3 linked regions of the Stegostoma tigrinum genome follow. The protein of the gene in region 3 purifies or fractionates together with the protein of the main gene of each other region. This does not show direct contact. Links are inferred from orthologs where the notes say so. Each region holds a gene or a part of one and is shown on either strand. Other genes may lie near its edges.

What was found. The genes of interacting proteins can lie anywhere in the genome.
Region 1: the proteins of slmapa (region 3) and fgfr1op2 purify together in Homo sapiens (affinity purification with mass spectrometry; 3 studies listed by BioGRID and IntAct, with this or other methods). This does not show direct contact. The link is inferred for Stegostoma tigrinum from reciprocal best matches to the Homo sapiens genes SLMAP and FGFR1OP2.
Region 2: the proteins of slmapa (region 3) and serine/threonine-protein kinase 3/4 purify together in Homo sapiens (co-immunoprecipitation; 3 studies listed by BioGRID and IntAct, with this or other methods). This does not show direct contact. The link is inferred for Stegostoma tigrinum from reciprocal best matches to the Homo sapiens genes SLMAP and STK4.

What each region holds. Positions count from the first base shown.
Region 1 is NC_081371.1:59,158,088-59,165,151, reverse strand, and holds the start of fgfr1op2 (FGFR1 oncogene partner 2 homolog), read right to left. Parts: upstream 3,019-7,064; 5' UTR 2,945-3,018; intron 1,278-2,944; 5' UTR 1,091-1,277; intron 174-1,090; 5' UTR 172-173; coding exon 37-171; intron 1-36. UniProt on the Homo sapiens protein: May be involved in wound healing pathway.
Region 2 is NC_081372.1:9,270,748-9,277,862, reverse strand, and holds the start of serine/threonine-protein kinase 3/4, read left to right. Parts: upstream 1-4,097; 5' UTR 4,098-4,145; coding exon 4,146-4,177; intron 4,178-7,115. UniProt on the Homo sapiens protein: Stress-activated, pro-apoptotic kinase which, following caspase-cleavage, enters the nucleus and induces chromatin condensation followed by internucleosomal DNA fragmentation.
Region 3 is NC_081364.1:53,148,553-53,156,561, reverse strand, and holds the start of slmapa (sarcolemma associated protein a), read left to right. Parts: upstream 1-4,998; 5' UTR 4,999-5,542; coding exon 5,543-5,740; intron 5,741-8,009. Other genes in the region: transmembrane protein 169-like, read left to right, coding at 2,736-2,770; dennd6aa (DENN/MADD domain containing 6Aa), read right to left, coding at 3,828-4,013. UniProt on the Homo sapiens protein: Associates with the striatin-interacting phosphatase and kinase (STRIPAK) core complex, forming the extended (SIKE1:SLMAP)STRIPAK complex.

The DNA.
Region 1 (7,064 bases), on a different chromosome or scaffold from region 3:
TAAATGATTGCAGAATAATTGTTGTATATCACTCACCTGCTTCATGGCCTCCACTCGCTTGTTCAGTGCAGTGGTCTGTTCAATGAGAGCTTCTGCTGCACTGTCATGTTCTTTCAATCGTTCCACCAGCGCTTTTGCATCAGCCAGAACCTTCTCTATAGTACAACTCATTTCTGTAAAAGGAAAGACTGTTTTTCTGGGTCGACACAGAGTGAAGATGGTGGAACACAGCAGGTCAGCAGCATCAGAGGAGCAGGAGAGTCGATGTTTCGGGCCTAGACCCATCATCGGTCCTGATTCCTGGAGTCAGCCTGACCCGCTGTGTTCCTTCAGCTCCACACTATTGATTCTGATTCCGGCATCCGCAGACCTTGCTGTCTGTTTTACTGGGTGCCAGAGTACACGGCTCACAGAACACGAAACAGATTGTATTGGTGTACCATCCTGCAGCAGACAGAAAACATTCAATCCTGTTGCACAACTCATCAGAATGGCTGCTCATCAAGCTCCGTGCTCTCCCAGACCGCTGCAAATCTTCATTTACCACTAGGGGTTGTGCTGGCAAGGTAGGAACCAAACTTGTACAATGCAAGACACCATTAACCACATCTGGGAGCACTGTTCCATTTCAGGAAAGTTATTTGTGTTTGAAACACTGGTCTTAAATAGGATCTTTAAAGACTATTGCACCCTTAAAAGGATCCTCACTGAAGACAACACAGCTCTGTCTCAGTGCCGCACTGGAGCAGTCAGTTTAGGCCATCGGTAAACCCACCAGACTGTAGGTAAGGGTCCGAACAATTAAGCCCTGCTGATAGCAGGAAAAACAGAAAATGCCATGACAAAAACAAATCTGTCAAATGCTTCAGAGAATGACTTTACAAAAAGACATCCTTCAAAGACTAGACTTTGACAGCTGCAGAAATTCTCTTGTGTTTTAATCACACTAATTACCAGCCTAATTAGCCAGTGTTTCAGATAAACTGGGTTGTCATTTCAATAGCTAAGGCATATTCTGTGTTGTTACTGAAATTACAAAGAAACTTTGGCTCACAGACTGCTTTGTAACATCAAATGAAAAATCACAGACCTGAAGCACCAACTATGTTCTGATCTCCCCGAATACAGCCAGCAGCTGAGTATTTTCACTAATTTCTGTATTTACTTCAGGTTTCCAGCATCTGCAGCATTTTTCTGTTGTTGCATTTATAACTAGGCTGTTTTTGACGGCAAATTAGATGTCTTGGGGTCGCAAGAACCTTACTCCCCATTCACACCTACACACACAGGATCAAAGTTTTACTTCTGTGTTGTCGAGTTATAAATAATAACAAGCAATTCAGGTGCAAACACAACATAAGCCCGTTGTAAGCCAATCTGACACGGCACTGAACCCAGGCAAAGGAAAACAAGGCAGACAGTCACTATGTATTGGGGAGGGGTCTCACAGAAGTATGGAAACTGCTACAACATGGAAGCTGGAGGAGGAGAGTGAGGGAGGGTGCAAGGGGAAGGTGGTAGTGAGAGAGGGATGGGGGGAGAGGGATGGGGGGAGAGGGGTGGGGGGAGAGGGGTGGGGGGAGAGGGGTGGGGTGGGGGGAGAGGGGTGGGGGGAGAGGGGTGGGGGGAGAGGGGTGGGGGGAGAGGGGTGGGGGGAGAGGGGTGGGGGGAGAGGGGTGGGGGGAGAGGGGTGGGGGGAGAGGGGTGGGGGGAGAGGGGTGGGGTGGGGGGGTGGGGTGGGGGGGTGGGGGGAGAGGGGTGGGGTGGGGGGGGAGGGGGGGGGGGGAGGGGAGGGGGGGGAGGGGAGGGGGGGGAGGGGGTGGGGGGGAGGGGGGTGGGTGGGGAGGGGGTGGGGGGGAGGTGGGTGGGGAGGGGGTGGGGGGGAGGGGGTGGGGGGGAGGGGGGTGGGGAGGGGGGTGGGGAGGGGGGTGGGGGGGAGGAGGGGGGTGGGGAGGGGGGTGGGGGGGAGGAGGGGGGGGAGGAGGGGGGTGGGGGGGAGGAGGGGGGTGGGGAGGGGGGTGGGGGTGGGGGGGGGGAGTGGGGGGTGGGGGGGGGAGTGGGGGTGGGGGGGGGAGTGGGGGTGGGGGGGGAGTGGGGGTGGGGGGGGAGTGGGGGTGGGGGGGGGGAGTGGGGGGTGGGGGGGGGAGTGGGGGTGGGGGGGGGAGTGGGGGGGAGTGGGGGTGGGGGGGGAGTGGGGGTGGGGGGGGAGTGGGGGTGGGGGGGGAGTGGGGGTGGGGGTGGGGGGGAGTGGGGGTGGGGGTGGGGGGGAGTGGGGGGGGAGTGGGGGTGGGGGGGAGTGGGGGGGGAGGGGGAGTGGGGGGGGGGAGTGGGGGGGAGGGGGAGTGGGGGGGGAGTGGGGGTGGGGGGGAGGGGGAGTGGGGGGGGAGTGGGGGTGGGGGAGGGGGGAGTGGGGGTGGGGGAGGGGGAGGTGGGAGTGGGGGGGGAGTGGGGGAGGGGGGAGTGGGGGTGGGGGAGGGGGGAGTGGGGGTGGGGGTGGGGGAGGGGGGAGTGGGGGTGGGGGAGGGGGGAGTGGGGGTGGGGGAGGGGGAGGTGGGGGAGGGGGGAGTGGGGGTGGGGGAGGGGGAGGTGGGAGTGGGGGTGGGGGTGGGGGAGGTGGGAGTGGGGGTGGGGGAGGTGGGAGTGGGGGTGGGGGAGGTGGGAGGGGGGGTGGGGGAGGTGGGTGGGTGGGGGGGAGAAGTGGGTGGGGGGAGGTGGGGGGGTGGACGGGGGAGGTGGGGGGGGGGAGTGGATGGGGGGGGTGGGGGGGGTGGGTGGGGTGGGGGGGGTGGGGGGGGGTGGGGGGGGTGGGGGGGGTGGGTGGGGTGGGGGGGGTGGGTGGGGTGGGGGCGGATGGTGGGTTGTCCCTGGGAGGTCAGGACCCTATCGACTCCCTGCGCCGCAGCCTTGGAGACCCCTCGCGGCTCCTTCCCGCTCCATATCTCACCGACTCAGAACCGTTGCTGCTGCCGCCGTTTCCATGAACCTCTCGGCGGTCAAAGGCCGGAACCGGAAATGCCCCAACAACCCAGGGGCGGAACCGCGCGTGCGCAACCCCGGCGCGCCGCGCGGTGCACGCAGGGGATTGTAGTTCGCTGCAGTGCGCATGCCTGATGCTCCACGGATTTCACCTCCAGGCTACAGGCGGCGCTGTCCAAAGGAAAACGCATTTGCAACATTCAGGTGCAAATGTGTCAAACAGGAACAACCATGTGGCCAAACCATGTGGCAAAACCAGTGGGAAATCCAACCGGAACCCATTGGGTTAGTCACCAGACATGTGGCTGTTTGTCATTTTGGGGGAACTGTTAGCTTGGAAAATGACTGACAGACAGGAATGCCCATGTCAGGAGTGTTTCAGCCTCTCACACTGATCCCTCAATTATCTTTCTCAAGAAAAGTGATTTCTCACATTGATTCGAATAGACAGATGTTTGATGACCATGCACACATGATGGGCTGAAGGGCCTTCTTCTGTGTCGTAAAAAAACTCTGAGGTCAGACGACACCAGGTTATAGTCCAACAGGTTTATTCGAAATCCCAGGCTTTCCAATTGTAGAGATAGCAGGAACTGCCGATGGTGGAGTATCTGATACAACACGGTGTAGAGCTGGATCAAAGGAGCAGGAAAGCTTGACGTTTTGGGTCGGGACCCTTCTTCAGAAATGGGGGAGGGGAAGGGGGTTTCTGAAATAAATAGGGAGACGGGGGGAGGCGGAGAGAAGATGGATAGAGGGGAAGATCGGTGGAGAGGAGACAGACAGGTCTAAGAGGCAGGGTTAGAGCCAGTGAATGTGAATGTAGGTGAGGAGTTAGGGATGGGATAGGTCAGTCCAGGGAGGACGGATATGTCGGCGGGGGTGCGGGATGAGGTTAGTAGGTAGGGGATGGGGGTGGGGCTTGAGGTGCCTTTGTCAGGTGAAGCCCTGACAGAGGAGCAGTGCACTAAAAGTTTGTGATTTCAAATAAACCTGTTGGACTATAAACTGGTGGCATCTGAATTCTGACTTTGTCCACCCCAGTTGAACACCAACCTCTACATCATAAAAAATGCTACGTGTGGAAGACCTTTGTGATCCTTTTAAGAATTCTGATTTAGTGATCGTGTTTTTTTTTGTTTGACTGTGCACCAATATATCACCAATACTCTTGCTTGCCTTTACACACACTATTTGCCTTGCCCCCACTCTGACCAGTTGTTCACGCTCTTCCCACTTACATTTATGATTCCTCTAACATTATGTTCTATTATAATTTCCAGTTTCCTGGCCGCAGACAACACCTCTTCACCATGGGTGTATAATCCTTACACACAGCTATCCCCATCAGGATGTTCTGGCAGTTGTCTACTACTTCCTTGAAAAGAGGGCTGAATGATTCCTATCCTCCAGCACCTGACTGAGCTCATTTTAAGTCTGAACAACCCCTTTAACTTGTTCAATTTTCTCTCAGTCAAAGGAGTGGCTATGAGGACCTGCATTGGGCCCAGTTGTGCCTATCTCTTTGCAATTTGAGCAACATTCCTTCAGTCCTAATCAGGAACCCTCCCAATGACATCATTAGTGCTGACACTGGTCTGGAATCAGAAAAATTAATTAGCTTTGCTTCCCATTTCCAACCTGGTCTCACCTTCATCTGGTCTATTTTGACTCTTCTTTCCCTGCCCTTAATTCCCATGCTTCCATTTCTGGGGATAGGCTGTCCACCAATATCCATTACAATCCCAGTTACCGTGGCTACACATCTGCAAATCTTATGTCCTGCAAGGACTCCATTCCATTTTCCCAGCATCTCCATCTCCTTTTGCATCTTTTCCAACGATGCCAGATTCCACCTTGTGGTATCCAACATGATATCCTTTTGTGTCAACTGAGAAATTCTGCCCTTTAAGGAATTCCTCCCTCCCCACCCTCATTGTAGCTGACAGACCCCTGAACCATGTGCAATCTGTCTCTCCCATTTTTCCATCAACAATGATAGGATTCCCTTTGTCCTCACTCCCCACCAGTGTGCACATCCAAAGGATCCTTCATTGGCTCTTCTGCCACCTCCAGCAGGATGTTACCACCAACACATCTTCCCCTTCCCTCCAATGTCAGCATTCCACAGGAACAATTCTCTCTATAACAGTCCAAGCACTTCCTTACTGTCCAAACGTACCTGCTCCAGGTGAAGCAGTGTATTGTAGTGTACTATCTAGTGTATTGTATTCACTGCTCACAATGCAGTCTCCTTTACACTGGTGAGACAAAGTGTAGACTGGATGATCACTCTATGGAACCATTCCAATCTGTCGATAGGAAGAACCTTCTTGTTGCTTGTTGTTTCAATGCCATTATCTTGCTCTCTTGCCAACATTTCCATCCTAGACCTGCTGCAGCGTTACAGCAAAGCTCAACGCAAGTGGAGACGCAGCACCTGGTTTTCCTCTGAGGCACTTTACAGCCGCCAGAGCTCAACACAGAGTTCAACAACGTTCCAGCATGTACACTCTTCTCCAGTGACCATAGTTCTGTTACTTTTAAATAGTTATGGAGAAGGGCAAAACTGGCCCACAGGTTCAAATTCTAAATTGGAGCAAGGTGAATTTTGATGGAAAGAGACAGGAGCTTGCAGGGGTTGATTAGAATAGTTTGTTTACAGGTAAAGGGATCTCTGGCGAGTGGGAGGCCTTGAAAAGTGTGATAGGTAGAGTTTTAGGTCTATAAGCTCCTGTGAGGGTGACGGGCAAGGTTGGCAGGAATAGGGAACTCTGGATGACAAGAGATATTGAGCTTTTACCAGAAAGAAAAGGAGGCATGACTCAGGTAAAGGCAGCTGGGATCAAAGGGATCCCTGAAGGTATAGTGGGGATTCAGGAATTTACTGAAGGAGGAAATCAGGAGGGTGAAAAGGGGAGACAGCTTTGGCTGAGAAGGTTAGGGTGAATCCAAAGACATTCTTTAAGTATATAAAAAAAGAGGAATAACTAGAGAGAGAATAAGACCCCTCAAGGACCAAAGTGGACATGTGTGTGTGTGGAACCACAGGGGATGGGTGAGGTCCTAAATGAATATTTCTCCTCTGTGTTTACCGTGGAGAAAGAACATGAAGACTAGGGAACTTGGGGAGGTTAGTGGTGATATATTTGGGACAATCTATATCACAGTACAGGAGGCTTTGGAAGTACTAGAATATACAAAGGTGGATAAATCTCCTGGTCCTGACCAGATATGTCCAAGAACCCTGCAAAAGGCTAGGGAAGGAATTGCGGGATCCCTGGCTGATATAGTTGCATCATTATTAGCCATAAGTGAGGACCCACAAGACTGGAGGGTAGTGAATGTTGTGCCTTTATTCACAAAGAGCTGTAAAGAATAACCTGGGAATTGTAGATAAATAAGCTTAACGTCTGTGGTAGGTAAGTTACCGGAGAAGATTCTGAGGGATAAGACATACATACATTTAGAAAGACAGGTTTGATTAGGAGTAGTCAGCATGGCTTTGTGCATGGGAGTTCAAGCCTCACAAAATATGTTAGAGTTCTTTGATGAAGTGACCAGGAAGCTGATGAGGGCGGGGTAGTAGATGTAGTCTACATGGATTTCAGTAAGGCCTTTGATAAGGTTCCACATGGTAGGCTGCTCTGGAAGGTTAGATCACATTAAATCCAGGGAGAGCTGGCAATTTGGATAGACAAGTGGCTTGATGGTAGGAAACAGAGGATAATAGTGGAAGGATGCTTGTCTGACTGGAGGCTTGTGCCTCAGGAGTCAGTGCTGGGCCCATTTCTGTTTGTTGCCCATATCAATGATTTGGATGAAAATGTACAAGGCATAATTCTTAAGTTTGCGTATGACACTGAAATAGGTGGTATTGTGGACAGTGAGGAAGGTATTCAGTAATTGCAGCAGGATCTTGATCAGCTGGGGAAGTTAGCCGATAAATGGCAAATGGAGTTTAATATAAATAAGTGTGAGGGTGCGGCATTTGGAAAGTCAAATCAAGGTAGGAGTTTCATGGTGAATGGTCGGGCCTTAAAGTGTTTAGTGGAAGAGAGGGACCTTGGAGCTGAGGTGCACAGTTC
Region 2 (7,115 bases), on a different chromosome or scaffold from region 3:
TTAGAATTTTTACTTTTTGTGTGCCACGTCTGTGGGACTCAACAATACGCACAATTCAAACTTATGTCATGTATTTCTTTAAAACTATTTAGGTGGTGTATGACATGCTGCTTTTATGAAATATCTGAACTTTATTTCCCAATTTCACTGTTTTCTGTGTGAGATTTGTCATTAAAGTCTTGTCTTTCAAATGGATCCCTCAAAACAAAGTTAAATTCAATGTGGAGAGCAACTGATGCCATTTAGTAAATTTGATGTATATTTCCTTCTATGCAAGTGATTCTTATACTGCTTAGAATAAAACACTTTTGTCATGACCAACTAGGCATTCATTGTTTGTTTTTTTTATTTTGTGATGTTCAAGTCCCTTGCTTTCATGTGTGATTACATTTCTAGGCTGTAGTGGTGATGGAATTGGGAATGCGGAGTGCGCAAATCCCACAGTGGCAAATTAGAATTGAAACTTGTTAGTGTGCTTGAATCCTGGACGCCTAGCACTCAAACTGGAATTCCGTTAACAAACATTTAGAGCTGGACCCTCAAATACCAATCTCTACAAAGCAAATCCAGAAGTGATGCCATCCACTCCAGCAAACTGAGATACAGAAACATTAAGTGGGATAGAAAAAACTTACCAGCTCAGTGAGCAGGAATACCTCTCTCTCTTCCCCCTCTCTTTCTGTGTCTGGCTGACAGCCTATGCAATGTGAATGTGGCATTTTAAAAACTCCTACTTTAGAAATTAAACCAGTTTGACTCCAAACTAAAACACTGATTCTAATCAAGGTTTCACACCTGACACGCTTTAAAATGTCACTGCCTCTTTACGCTGATAAAACCTTTGGTCCTTTCAGCATAATCCAATTATCACCTTTCAAGTCATTATCTTGTTCCTTTTTTTGAAGTCTCTCCTCTGACGCTTCATTGGAGGTGCTCACAGAGGACATTTTTTGTTTCCCAGTGAATTTCATTCTTAAATGTTACATTTGTAAGTTAAGACTGGCTGTAGTTTTTGCCTGAAAAAACGACTTGTCTAAAAGTTCAATATATCCATAAGTAATTCAGCTTTCTGATCCATTGTCATGAAACCACACATACACCTACTTGTCAATGTCCTATTTAAATCTTAAACTGACCCCTTGACAGATCTAAGTTTTATACCATTTGCAAATTTTGAAATTGTGCCTGTACATCAAATTCTGGGTGATTAATATATATCAGGAAGAGACAAACTATTTCTTCTGATGAGTTGGAGCCTAGAATAAGAGAAGATGATTTGGTTCAAAATGTCATTGTCCATTGTGAATATAAGCTTTTCCCTGCTTTAGCTCATTTCTCTGGAATTGAGTAGATTAATATTTTCTATATGTATGTGTGATGCATCATCTACCTTAAGTTCATGAATGGCCAAAAATATTCTCTCTGACCTATTCACACAAGTCAATTTATGATTGCATAATGCTTTGTAAATTATTTTATACTTTTCTGGAAGATAAATCATTATATTACATAGTCTTTTAAGCACCTTAGCATTATCCAATCAGACTGATAAGATAGCAAATTCCTAATCTTTTGGATTATAACTGCATTGATGGATATTATACTTTTGGTAACAGGACGAGGGGGATCTAGACATATACCAAAGGCCAATGTACCACAAAGCAATGCAACTGAGGTCTCCCTATCCGAAAGCTTGAATGAAACAAATTCAGTGGTTGCTTTTGGAAAATAATTGGATAAAAAGTTGAGAGAGGGAGTAACTAGGACAATGAGGGCGAGAGCAGGAAGTGATGCAATTCAAAAATACAGTATAAATAAGATGATCTGAGTGGCTACTTTCTGAGACTTTTTTCTGACTTTTGCAAAGTGAGAATCGACTAAAATTCCAGATTTTGGACAGGTCAGAACAGTTCTCCACTTAGAGAAGAATTTGATAAAGATGTTCAGTCATGAGGGTTTGGAGTAGACAGGGATAAATTGTTGACGCTTGCATAGATAATTGACCAAAGAAGTAGTAGTGACAAGAAGAAAAAAATTCCACACTGTGGATGGAATGCGCTGTTTCACATTTTTTGGTGACAGGTGTCAGTTCAGTGGAAACACTTAGGAGGGATCATTGACTGAAAAGGAAAAATGTACAGGGCTGCAGGAATTTGTAAAGAGATGGTACTCTTTGGGGAATTGATCCTTAATGGGGAAGACTATATGAGTCAAATGAACGTAAAATACTGCAGATGCTGGAACTCTGAAATAAAAACAAAGTGATGGAGAAACTCAGCAGCATCTGTGGAGTAAGAAATAGAATTAACGTTCTGAGTGCAGTAATGGCCAAATGCTGTTGGTCCCATTCTATTGATAACAAGGTGTGGAGCCGGATGAACACAGCAGGCCAAGCAGCATCTCAGGAGCAGGAAAGCTTTCCTGCTCTTGAGATGCTGCTTGGCCTGTTGTGTTCATCTGGCTCCACACCTTGTTATCTCGGATTCTCCAGCATCTGCAGTTCGTATCATCTCCAGTCCATTCTATAATTCGTTGTTGAGGTGCAGTGCTGGAAGAGGGATGTGGTCAATGCACCGACACGGACTGAGGCCAGAGCAATGCACGATGGTAGACAAATAGAGGAAAAGGCCATTCGGTCCAACCACTTGATGCTGGTGTATCTGCTGCATCCGTATGGGAATGAAAACAATGGAGGAGAACTGAAACAAAGAAACCTACAGCACAGGAACAGGCCCTTTGGCCCTCCAAGCCTGTGCCGATCAAGATCCTCTGTCTAGCCTGTCATCTATTTTCTAACGGTCTGTGTCCATTTGCTCCCTGCCCATCCATGTACCTGTCCAAATATATCTTAAAAGACGCTAACGTGTCTGCGACTACCACCTCCGCTGGCAAAGTGTTCCAGGCGCCCATCACCCTCTGTGTAAAGAACTTTCCACGCATATCTCCCCGAAACTTTCCTCCCCTCAATTTGAACTCATGACCCCTAGTAATGCAGTCCCCCACTCTGGGAAAAAGCTTCTTGCTATCCACCCTGTCCATACTCCTCATGATTTTGTAGACCTCAATCAGGTCCCCCTCAATCTCCGTCCTTCTAATGAAAATAATCCTAATCTATTCAACCTCTCTTCATAGCTAGCACCCTCCATACCAGGCAACATCCTGGTGCACCTCCTCTGCACCCTCTCCAAAGCATCCACATCCTTTTGGTAATGTGGCGACCAGAACTGTACACAGTATTCCAAATGTGGTCGAACCAAAGTCCTATACAACTGCAACGTGACCTGCCAACTGTTGTACTTAATACCCCGTCCAATGAAGGAAAGCATGCCATATGCCTTCTTGACCACCCTGTTGACCTGCGTTGTCACCTTCAGGAAACAATGGACCTGAACACCCAGATCTCTCTGTTCATCAATTATCCCCAGGACTTTTCCATTTACTGTATAGTTCGCCCTTGAATTTGATCTTCCAAAATGCATCACCTCGCATTTGCCCGGATTGAACTCCCATCTGCCATTTATCTGCCCAACTCTCCAGTCTATCTATATTCTGCTGTAATCTCTGACAGTCCCCTTCACGATCTGCTACTCCACCAATCTTAGTGTCATCAGCAAACCTGCTGATCAGACCACCTACACCTTCCTCCAAATCATTTACATATATCACAAACAACAGTGGTGCCAGCACAGATCCCTGTGGAACACCACTGGTCACAGGCCTCCAATTTGAGAAACTCCCTTCTACTACTACCCTCTGTCTCCTGTTGCCCAGCCAGTTTTTTATCCATCTAACTAGCACACCCTGGACCCCATGTGACTTCACTTTCTCCATCAGCCTGCCATGAAGCTGAAAGGGTGGGTGCAATCAATAGAAAGAGAAAGTTAAGGGAAAGAAAAGAACAAAATCTGGTTGCGAACTTTACTGCCATGCACTTCCATCCCGTTGCAATTGCAGAGCCAACTATATTTCCGCCCCACACGATGGAAGGAACCACTTCCGCCCCGCTAGTGGCGTCTGTCGCAACGTCCGCCCCCACTGGACGTGGATCGACGTAGCTTCCGCCCCGCAAATGCGTCACTTGGAGAGTTTCCGGGAAGGGGATTTCCGGCTCGAGGCGGAAGTGAACAGTATAGGAGCGGTGAGACATGGAGGAGGTCCAGCGGAGGCATCCGCGGCGGTAAGAACCCAAAGAGGGAGAGCGGGAGGAGGATGTTCGGGATGCTGGGGAATGGGTACGGGAAAAATGGCGAGAGGAGCGAGGGCTGTGGTTGTCAGGGCAGAAATAACCCCCTTGAGGGCCGTCAATTTCGTTCCCCCGACTTAAGGACAACTACCCTGCTCCCCTCCGACTTCTTTCCCCACCCCCCCATTCCCCCCCCTTCTTTTCCTCCCCCTCCTCTTCCCCCCCCATCTCTTCTCCCCCCCCCACCCCCACTCCCCCCCCCACCCCCACTCCCCCCCCCCCACCCCCACTCCCCTCCCCCACCCCCACTCCCCCCCCCCACCCCCACTCCCCCCCCCACCCCCACCCCCACTCCCCCCCCCCACCCCCACCCCCACTCCCCCCCCCACCCCCACTCCCCCCCCCACTCCCCCCCCCACCCCCACTTCCCCCCCACTCCCCCCCCCACCCCCACTTCCCCCCCCACCCCCACTTCCCCCCCCACCCCCACTTCCCCCCCCACCCCCACTTCCCCCCCCACCCCCACTTCCCCCCCCCCACCCCACCCCCACTTCCCCCCCCCCCACCCCACCCCCACTTCCCACCCCCACTTCCCACCCCCACTTCCCACCCCCACTTCCCCCCCCCACCCCCCCACCCCACCCCCACTTCCCCCCCACTTCCCCCCCCACCCCACCCCCACTTCCCCCCCCACCCCACCCCCACTTCCCCCCCCACCCCACCCCCACTTCCCCCTCTTCCCCCCCACCCCCTCTTCCCCCCCCACCCCCTCTTCCCCCCCACCCCCTCTTCCCCCCCCACCCCCTCTTCCCCCCCCAACCCCCTCTTCCCCCACCCCCTCTTCCCCCCCCACCCCCTCTCTCCCCCCCACCCCCTCTTCCCCCCCCCACCCCCCCACTCCCCCCCACCCCCCCACTCCCCCACTCCCCCCCCCACCCCCCCCACTCCCACCCCCACCCCCCCACTCCCACCCCCACCCCCCCACTCCCACCCCCACCCCCCCACTCCCACCCCCACTCCCCCCACTCCCACCCCCACTCCCCCCCACTCCCACCCCCACTCCCCCCACTCCCCCCCCCACTCCCCCCCTCCCCCCCCACCCCCACTCCCCCCCCCACTCCCCCCCCCACTCCCCCCCCCACTCCCCCCCCCACTCCCCCCCCCCCCCACTCCCCCCCCCACTCCCCCCCCCACTCCCCCCCCCCCCACTCTCCCCCCCCACTCCTCCCCCCCCACTCTCCCCCCCCACTCTCCCCCCCCCCACTCCCCCCCCCCCCACTCCCCCCCCCACTCTCCCCCCCCACTCCCCCCCCACCCCCACTCTCCCCCCCCCACTCCCCCCCCCACTCCCCCCCCCCACTCCCCCCCCCACTCCCCCCCCCACCCCCACTCCCCACTCCCCCCCCCCACTTCCCCCCCCACCCCCACTCCCCCCCCCACCCCCACTTCCCCCCCCCCACCCCCCACTCCCCCCCCCACCCCCACTCCCCCCCCCCACCCCCACTTCCCCCCCCACTTCCCCCCCCACTTCCCCCCCCCACTTCCCCCCCCACCCCCACCCCCCACTTCCCCCCCCACCCCCACCCCCACTACCCCCCAACTCCCACCCCACCCCCCCCACTTCCCCCCCCCACCCCCCACCACTTCCCCCCCACCCCCACTTCCCCCCCACCCCCACTCCCCCCCCCACCCCCACTCCACCCCCACTCCCCCCCCCACCCCCACTCCACCCCACTCCCCCCCCCACCCCCACTCCCCCCCCCACCCCCACCCCCACCCCCCACCCCCCACTCCCCCCCCCCACCCCCACTTCCCCCCCCACTTCCCCCCCCACTTCCCCCCCCACCACTTCCCCCCCACTTCCCCCCCCCACTTCCCCCCCACTTCCCCCCCACTTCCCCCCCCACTTCCCCCCCCCCACTTCCCCCCCCCACTTCCCCCCCACTTCCCCCCCCCACTTCCCCCCCCCACTTCCCCCCCCCACTTCCCCCCCCCACTTCCCCCCCCACTTCCCCCCCCACTTCCCCCCCCCCACTTCCCCCCCCACTTCCCCCCCCACTTCTCCCCCCACCCCCACTCCCCCCCCACCCCCACTCCCCCCCCACCCCCACTCCCCCCCCACCCCCACTTCCCCCCTCACTCCCACTTCCCCCCCCACTTCCCCCCCCACCCCCCACCCCCCCAACCCCCACTTCCCCCCCAACCCCCACTTCCCCCCCAACCCCCACTTCCCCCCCCACCCCCACTTCCCCCCCACTTCCCCCCCCCACCCCCACTCCCCCCCCACTCCCCCCCCCACTTCCCCCCCCCACTTCCCCCCCCACTTCCCCCCCCACTTCCCCCCCCACTTCCCCCCCCCACTTCCCCCCCCACTTCCCCCCCCACTTCTCCCCCCCACTTCTCCCCCCCACTTCTCCCCCCCACTTTCCCCCCCCCACCCCCACTTCCCCCCCCCCCCACTTTTCCCCCCCCCACCCCCACTTCCCCCCCCCACCCCCACTTCCCCCCCCACCCCCACTTCCCCCCCCACCCCCACTTCCCCCCCCACCCCCACCTCCCCCCCCACCCCCACTTCCCCCCCCCCACCCCCACTTCCCCCCCCCACCCCTACTCCCCCCCCACCCCTACTCCCCCCCCCCCACCCCCACTTCCCCCCCCACCCCCACTTCCCCCCCCACCCCCACTCCCCCCCCACTCCCCCCCCCCACTCCCCCCCCCACTCCCCCCCCCCACTTCCCCCCCCACTCCCCCCCCCCACTCCCCCCCCCCCACTCCCCCCCCCACTTCCCCCCCCCACTTCCCCCCCCCCACTCCCCCCCCACTCCCCCCCCCACTCCCCCCCCCACTCCCCCCCCCACTCCCCCCCCACTCCCCCCCCCCACTCCCCCCCCACTCCCCCCCCCCACTTCCCCCCCCACTTCCCCCCCCACTT
Region 3 (8,009 bases):
GGTAAAACAGGTCGAAATATGTTACTTCATTAAAAATGCATATTTTGAAAGTGAAGAACAATTTTCTGATATTAAGAATAAGTATTAATAGTTCCAATACCTTCCTCCTGGAAATAGTAAAATGAAGCAAATTTTTTTTTCCATTCACAGGATGAGGGCATTACTGGCTACACCAGCAGATATTGCCCATCCCTCATTGCCCAGAGGGCAGTCAAGGGAACCACACTGTTGTGGGTCTGGAGTCACATGTAGGCCAGGCGACATAAGGATGGCTGTTTCCTTTCCTAAAGGATATTAGTGAAGCAAATGCGTTTCTCTGACAATCAATTCATAGTCATTACTAAAAACTCTTAATTCCATATTTTGTATTGAATTCGACCATCTGTCAAAGCAGGATTCAAACCCAGGTCCACAGAGCATACTTGGATCTCTGGATTAACAGTCCAGGGATTATACAACTCGGCTGTCACCTTTCCCACTATGAAATACTTTACCTTATTATAACGTATCTAAAAGGAAGGCTACATGGCAGTGCACTGTACAATAAATACTGTTATGTAGCCTGGCTCCACAATACAAGTTGTGCTTCTAATAGCAGATAGAATGTGTTAAGTTGAAATAGTGATGTGGCTTCTGTAGTTAGTACTGAATTAACAGCACCTATGTTCATTATGCTTATAGCTGTCCAGGACATTTCTGACAGCATTTACATTATGCTATGTATTCATTAGCCAATAAAAACTGTAGTCAGTGGGCTTACAGCATGTATGAACAGGGCAAGCACTGGTAGGCCAGTATTTGGGCACAATGCCATTAGGGGTTTTATCCCACTAACACTTAAGGTATGGTGATATACTTCAAACTCACCACACTATTTCGGAATCATATGGATGTTCCTTCAACTGTTGCTGGTCAAAATATAGGAATTCACACCAAATGGCATTCTAGATCTTACTGAATGAAATGGGCTGCGGCAGTCCAAGAATGCAGCTCACTATCAGCTTCTCCAGGGCACCTAGGGATGGGTAATAAATGTTGGCCCAAAACTAGGACGCTCACATCCCAGGAATGAATTTTCAAAAATATATCTGTTTAAGTGGATTGAAGTATCCACAGACATTCAGAGCCATTGCAGCACAGAAGATATTTATTGCAAACGAAGAAATAATTACTATATTATACCTTATTGTGTGTCTGTGATGTTTAATAGCCATCATGCAATCACATTCATAATGTGAGTCTGTAGAATTCTTCACCATAAAAAAAGCTGTCAAGGCTGCACTATCAAGTATATTCAAGCCTGAGGTAGACAGATTTCTAATCATTGAGGGAAATCATGGGTTATGGGGCATGGAAGGAGAGTTCAGGATTATCAAATTAATCATGACCTTGTTGAATGGCAAAATAGATTTGATGGCTTACTTCCAATCCTATGCGTTCTGATCTTTCTCTTGATTTGTTGTTACTCAGCCATATCTTATCCATGTTACTGGTTTCTGATTTATTCCATGAGCTATAACTTGGGTTAGAACTCTGTTGCACTGCACTATACCAAAAGCCTTCCAAAGTCCATGTAATACACAGTAATTGCCTTGCCATCATCATCAACTCTCTTAAATCTTGAAAGCATCTAACAAGTTGGTTAAACAGGATTTTACCTCAGGAAATTCACATTAAATATATTTATTCAGTACATTTGCCCAAGTAAAGTCACTTAGTGTCACAGAGCATGGAAACAGACCCTTTGGTCCAAGTTATTTACGAGGACCAGACATCCCAATTCGACCTAGTCCCAACTGCTAGCATTTGGCCCATATCCCTCTAAATTCTTCCTATTTATATAACTATCCAGATGCTTTTTAAATTTTGTAATAGTACCTGCCTCTGGCAGCTCATTCCACCCTCTGCATGGAAACGTACCCCTCAGGCCTTTGTAGCTTTCCCTTTCTCACCTTAAACCTGCATCCTCCAGGTTTGGACTCCACCAACCTGGGAGAAAGACCTTTGCTATTCACTCTACCTATGCCCCTCATGATTTTATTATCCTTTATGAAAGCTTTTTCCTTCAATTATTCATTCTACAGTCTTCCCCATCAAATTGAAAGTTGCCATAGTCCCACAACACCATACACTGCTGTCTCATGAGAAAGAGGCTGGTGGTTGGTTTTACCCAAGGGTCACCCCCATCTCACACCAGATTCAAGATCAAGAATTTGCCACCATCATGGTGAAACTGAACCCATTCTGTAGCCATCATTTGGCATCACAAAGCAGCCATCTAAAGTACAGCAAAATCACCTACAGTTGTTTGGCATGTCTTCACATCATTTTTGAACATTCGTAATGTTTGCAGTTCTCAAGGCCTCTGGCACCACACATGCCTAAAGAAAACTGAAACATTATAGCAAATGCTTCTCCAAGTTCCACTCCCAGCCCGGAGTATCTTTGGGCATCACGGTGCCCTCTTGAATATAGGGAATACGTCCATCCAATACTCATTAAGGACTCATTTACAGCTTGCACAGTAAATGCAAATGATGGTAATTAAAATAGCTTGTTATTTTAAACAGCATTTAAAAAATATTATTAGCATTAAAATTACATTTTCTAAAAATACAATTAACATGTGAAAACGAGTCGTTAGTGTGTCATTTCAATTGAAAAATCTTATCTTGCTTTTTGTTATTTAGTAACATTGCAACTCTTTAGACACTAACTGTTTTCTTTCAAAAAAGGCTTCTTCAGGCTGTTGATCGCAGATGTTGTGTAACTGATTCAAAATAAAGCAGATGCAGAGAAATTGAAGCGATGCTTCATGAGGACTTCTCAAATAGAAAAACAGAGCACATGATGACAGTGACATTTTTGGCTACAATGTGTTGGAATAATACATCTAATTATAGTCAGATCATAGAATGTAATAAGGTCTTTAAAAATCTCAACAGAGTTAACTCGAAATTGATTTTTTTGTCCAAGCAGTCACAAAATAAAAGTTTTCAATATTCTTCATTATGTTAATATTAAAGAAAACAAAGTGGCTTAACATTTCAAATGTTGATGTCTTGTGCGCTATTGTATTGCTCAAGATTCAAAACAATGTGCTTTTGGAATTAGCAAATTTTCGTTGATTAGATTTTACACATTCTACTGATCAAATTTAAAAGTTATGCACTTCAATGCAGCCATCTCAAATATCTCAGTTTAGGAAGAATTATTATGCACAGCGGCTAATTAAACCAAACAGAAAGCTCTTTTTGGAGATAACTAAGTATGGAGCTGGATGAACACAGCAGGCCAAGCAGCATCTTAGCTTCTGTACTCCTAAGATGCTGCTTGGCTTACTGTGTTCATCCAGCTCCACAATTAGTTATCCCCGGATTCTCCAGCATCTGAAGTTCCCATTATCTCAGGAGCTCTTTTTGATATTGCTTCTGACACGTTAAGTATGAAAATGGGCACTGGGTATACGTTTCGCTTCTCATTAAAATTGTTTCGAAATTAACCGCTCCGATAGATACACATCTACAAACGTTGCACTATGGATTCACATAGCAAAAAAACTGACTTCAAAACATTTAAGATTGTAAATACAGACAATTAGTTGCATTATTTTAGAAATGGCCTTGACTTTTGGTGGCACAAAGAACAGCGTCGGCTCCGTTGCAAGACACACGGTGGCCTTCGCATCGAAACAAAAGCAAAAGTTAAAAATGCAATTCCCATTGATCGCCAACGACCAATACCAACTTCCTACTGCAAGTAATTACCTCTTTCTTCTCCTTAAAACACACATATATTTACAATTTCTGGGATTTACAGAAACTCACTTCGACAGCCTGCCCCAGCTCCAGGTCGAACCCGACCACGCAGATACAGTGAACCCAGGCAGCGAACCCGTCCCATGGCAGTGATGGCGACCTGTCAGGACTACACAGGTAATCCTTGTCGGGAATGACCCTCTGTAACAACGCCTCCAGATCATCACAGTCACCTGTCAGAGCTTGAAAAGCCATGTTTTCCGCTCAACACTACCCAGACCGAGGGGACGACGTTAACTCGCTTTTGGCGGCGACGTGATGATGTAACCGGCTGCGTGTTACGTCAACCAAACGCCCTGGATTTGTTTGACGGAGTTGAGGTTTCCCCAACTGCCAGTTTTTGAAATGATTTCACCCTTTATCAGATTTGTGACACACATGATGAAGCGATGGTGATACATAAAAGTGAATTTAATTAACAACAGTGAAAGAATTAATGACGGTGACAACATGCACTTGAATCTCGGTAAAATTGCCGCGATTATTCCGATTTTCCCGGCCGATTTACCCGGTACCTTTGGTTGGATCGGGTCGCTGTTCCGCCTGTCTGGCTAAATCTGGACGGCTCACGTTTCCCACCTGTTTATGTTTGGTTCATTTTCCGCGTCAATCAACCGCCCAACACACCCACCGGCTGTCTCAGCTGCCCGCCCAGCGCACACCTCAATTGGCTGTCCGCGGCCTACTGTCTTGGCCGCTATTGGTTATGTTGCTTGTCAATTAACGGCGGCCGGTGCTTCCGCTGTCAAGCTATTGCCTATGCGGTGAAGCTATGGCGGCTTCAGTGACTTGTGGGGGACGTGTTACAAGCTTGGGTTCGGTGGAGGGCAAAAGCACAGGCGAAGAATAGTTCCTATTTCGTCCCACAACAGTAACGGCTGCAGGTGTCGAACGAGCTTGTCTACTTCAGCATCAGTTGTTTATCAAAGGGGGGGGGGGGTGGCTTCCTTCAGCTGTGGATCGGGAGCTCCTTGAATCGTGGTCTTTGATCGAAAGGATTTGTTTTGATTTCGGGTCATAAGTTCACGACTTTGGACTCCGTGATCAGGATTCAGTCAGGCCTCAGGCCTAGTTGTTAACTCTGCTTCCTTTGGCTCTGACAGGACGTGCTTTTGAGAAGATAAAGTGGCGGTTCCATTTCTTTTTTTCCGCAGTAACTGTCGAGGGCCTCCCCCCCCCCCCCCCCCCCACCCCCAACACCTTGCCCACAAGAGGACTTGCGATGTGCGAGTTATTACTGTAAGACCAGCTTTTAATGTGTCCGACTCAAATTCGGCGATAACCTTGTCGGGCTAAGAGGGACAAAAAAAAGCACTAATTCTGATTGCACACCGACGATTTTATCTAAGTCAGGTGCCCGTGTCCTTAAGTGTCTGAGACTGATAAGTCTTCATTTTTTTTACCGTTGTAAAAGCTAGATGACGGTATATAAGCACCGACCTAATGGACTAATCTCAACGGACAGATCTTCAGGCAAGGACAGAAGATGCGTCGAGTTATTTCTGATTTATTGAGATGGGTGTGTTAGCGGATGAAAGATGAATCTCTCATTTTGTACAGAAAGAGCTTGCGGATGTTGTGTGTAAATATTCTCACTTATATATAAAAGCAGGTTGTTTTACATTTCTAATATATTTTGAACGGACATTGTCGCTCTGGATCAGGAAGTGGATCAAGGCGAGTTTCCCCTCTTGACTTTGACTGAGACTCGTCACCAGTCCCATATGCCTTCAGCACTAGCCATCTTCACCTGTCGGCCAAATTCGCACCCTTTTCAGGAACGCCATGTCTACCTGGACGAACCTGTCAAAATTGGTCGATCGGTGGCACGTTGCAGACCAGCCCAAAATAACGCCACATTCGATTGCAAAGTGCTTTCCAGAAACCATGCTCTCATCTGGTTCGACCACAAAACAGGCAAGGTAAGGACGAACCACCTTTTTTTTTATTTGATTAGATTGTAAATATCAATTATTCTGAACAGTCTTTCGCAGTTCTGTTGAGGGAATTTTTTGATCCCGTTCCTGTTATCGATTTAACAATTTTTCATTTTAGTTTCGTGTTAACGCTTTTATTGAGTTAAAACAAATTAAATTGTTTAATTTAAGGCTAATTATTGACTTGACTTTTTCTTTTAGTTTATCAGTTATAAAACCTGGATGTAAAACTGTCTGATCATTTTAACTACATATTGCAGCAGCGGTATTTCCAGAATCAAGTTTTTATTTTTAACATTTTACTTTCAATTTTAGTAATTGCATTTATAATTCATTTTATTGTTTGTTACAATAGTTATTGCATTTAGGTTATCTTTTATCTATTCATTCACCTTTTGAGTGCAAAGCCAAAGCAAAGCAAGTCTCTGTATAGCCTGAATGGTGACTGTGGTCCTGTTTATCTGTGTAATGGAAGTTGCATAACCTATGGCAAAAAAAACACAGTACCTTGACAGCTATGCTTTGTTGCTTTTTTTGCTTTTTACTTTTTTGTCCGTGACTCTTTGTTATCATTAATTTACAGCTTATTATATTTACAACACTCCTTCCCACCCGCCCTCGCCACCCCCCCCCCCCCCCCCCCCCCCCAACCCCTGCCAGTACCTTCTCTTGTAGCTCCTCCAGGGTCATTTTAGCACTGGGTCAGGTTCTTCCGACTCTGCTTCTGATATGGGTGACATGCAATACCCAGGAGTTTTGACTCGTACACGGAGTGTCTCTGAGGATATTCATTCTCTTCCTCAGGTGGCAAAGGTATCAAGGTGATGACATCTGCCATATCCACCTAAGATTCCAAGCTCTCCTCAGTGCATGATGGAGAGGGAGAGCCAGCCTTTCTGACAGTTCTGAAGTGCCTGAGTTGACTTGCCCCGGCCCTGTTTGCAAATTTGTGCCTTACATATGGCCCACATGCTTGTTCCAGACCATCATACCTACCTAAACTTTATACATCACTGGACTTGAGTCCTTGCGATGACCATGCCCCTTACCAATGCATGCCCATTCCTGTGATTCCTACACCAAACTATTTCCCGTCAAATAAACAGTCTGTCTCACTTAGCAGAGTCATGTATCAAGCATTGGCATTCCTGATGCCATTCCACTCACTCTCACACGCTCCCACCCCATTCCGGGAATTTCAGATTTAACCTGGCTTGGAGTCTTCTCCCTGTTAGCAACTCTGCTAGAGCTATCCCTCTAGTTCCATGAGGGATGGTCTGATTATCAAATAGAAATGGGGAAAGTTTGATATCCGGCGAAGTTGTAGGCTGTTTCTTTAATCCTGGCCTCAAAGTTTGGACTGCTGTTTCTACCAGACCATTGGATGCTGGATGGCATGTCGATTCAATTTCAGGAAATGACTCTAATTCCCTGCGAGTGAACGATGGCCATTATCTATGACCAATACTTCTGGGAGTCACTGTTATGCAAATAATGTGCACAGTCTTTCAATCATTGACCCTGTGTTTGATGAATGAATTCTAAGCATGGCCAACCACTTCGAGTGGCTACAATGACTAAGATTAGATCTTGTGAAAGAACCTGTATAGTCACCTTATAACCAAGCCCAGTGTTTACTTGGCCATCCCCATGAAGGTAGGGGAGCTGCTTAGAGTTATTTTTGTCCTTCATGGCACTCTGAACACTGCCACAGCAACACTGTTTGCATTCAATCCTGGCCACAGGACCTCTGGATGATGATTGTGTAGTTCAGCCAGTATCTGGTGGCAGTGTTTGTTCAGGATAATCACTCGAGTGCAGCATAATATTATGCTGTACTCTACTCTGACCTGATCTCTCTGGACTTGAAAAGGTTTCAGTTCTGGTTGTGATGGCCCGTTGGTTTCCCTTATTACCTTATTATGTTTTAGTTTTGCCATCACCGGATCTTTGTGTCTACAGTCTGATATTGTGAGCTGTGACTGGAAGTGTGTCCAGAAAATTTAAAACAGTTCAGAGCTCTGGCAGTAACGGTACCCTGGGCAATGTTTCTGCCAGTGGGAGGCTGTTCTTTGGAATAGAATATCCTTTATTGTCGCTGCATTTGCACCCGCATTTCTACTTAGCTTTCTGGACGGTGTTCAAACTTAGTATTAGAGCCCACTGTTGATTTCAGCCTGAAACTGAGCGGCACTGCCTTGTCCTCTTTAAGCAAGTCTAGCATGGCCCATTACTGTTACAAATTTATTTCTAA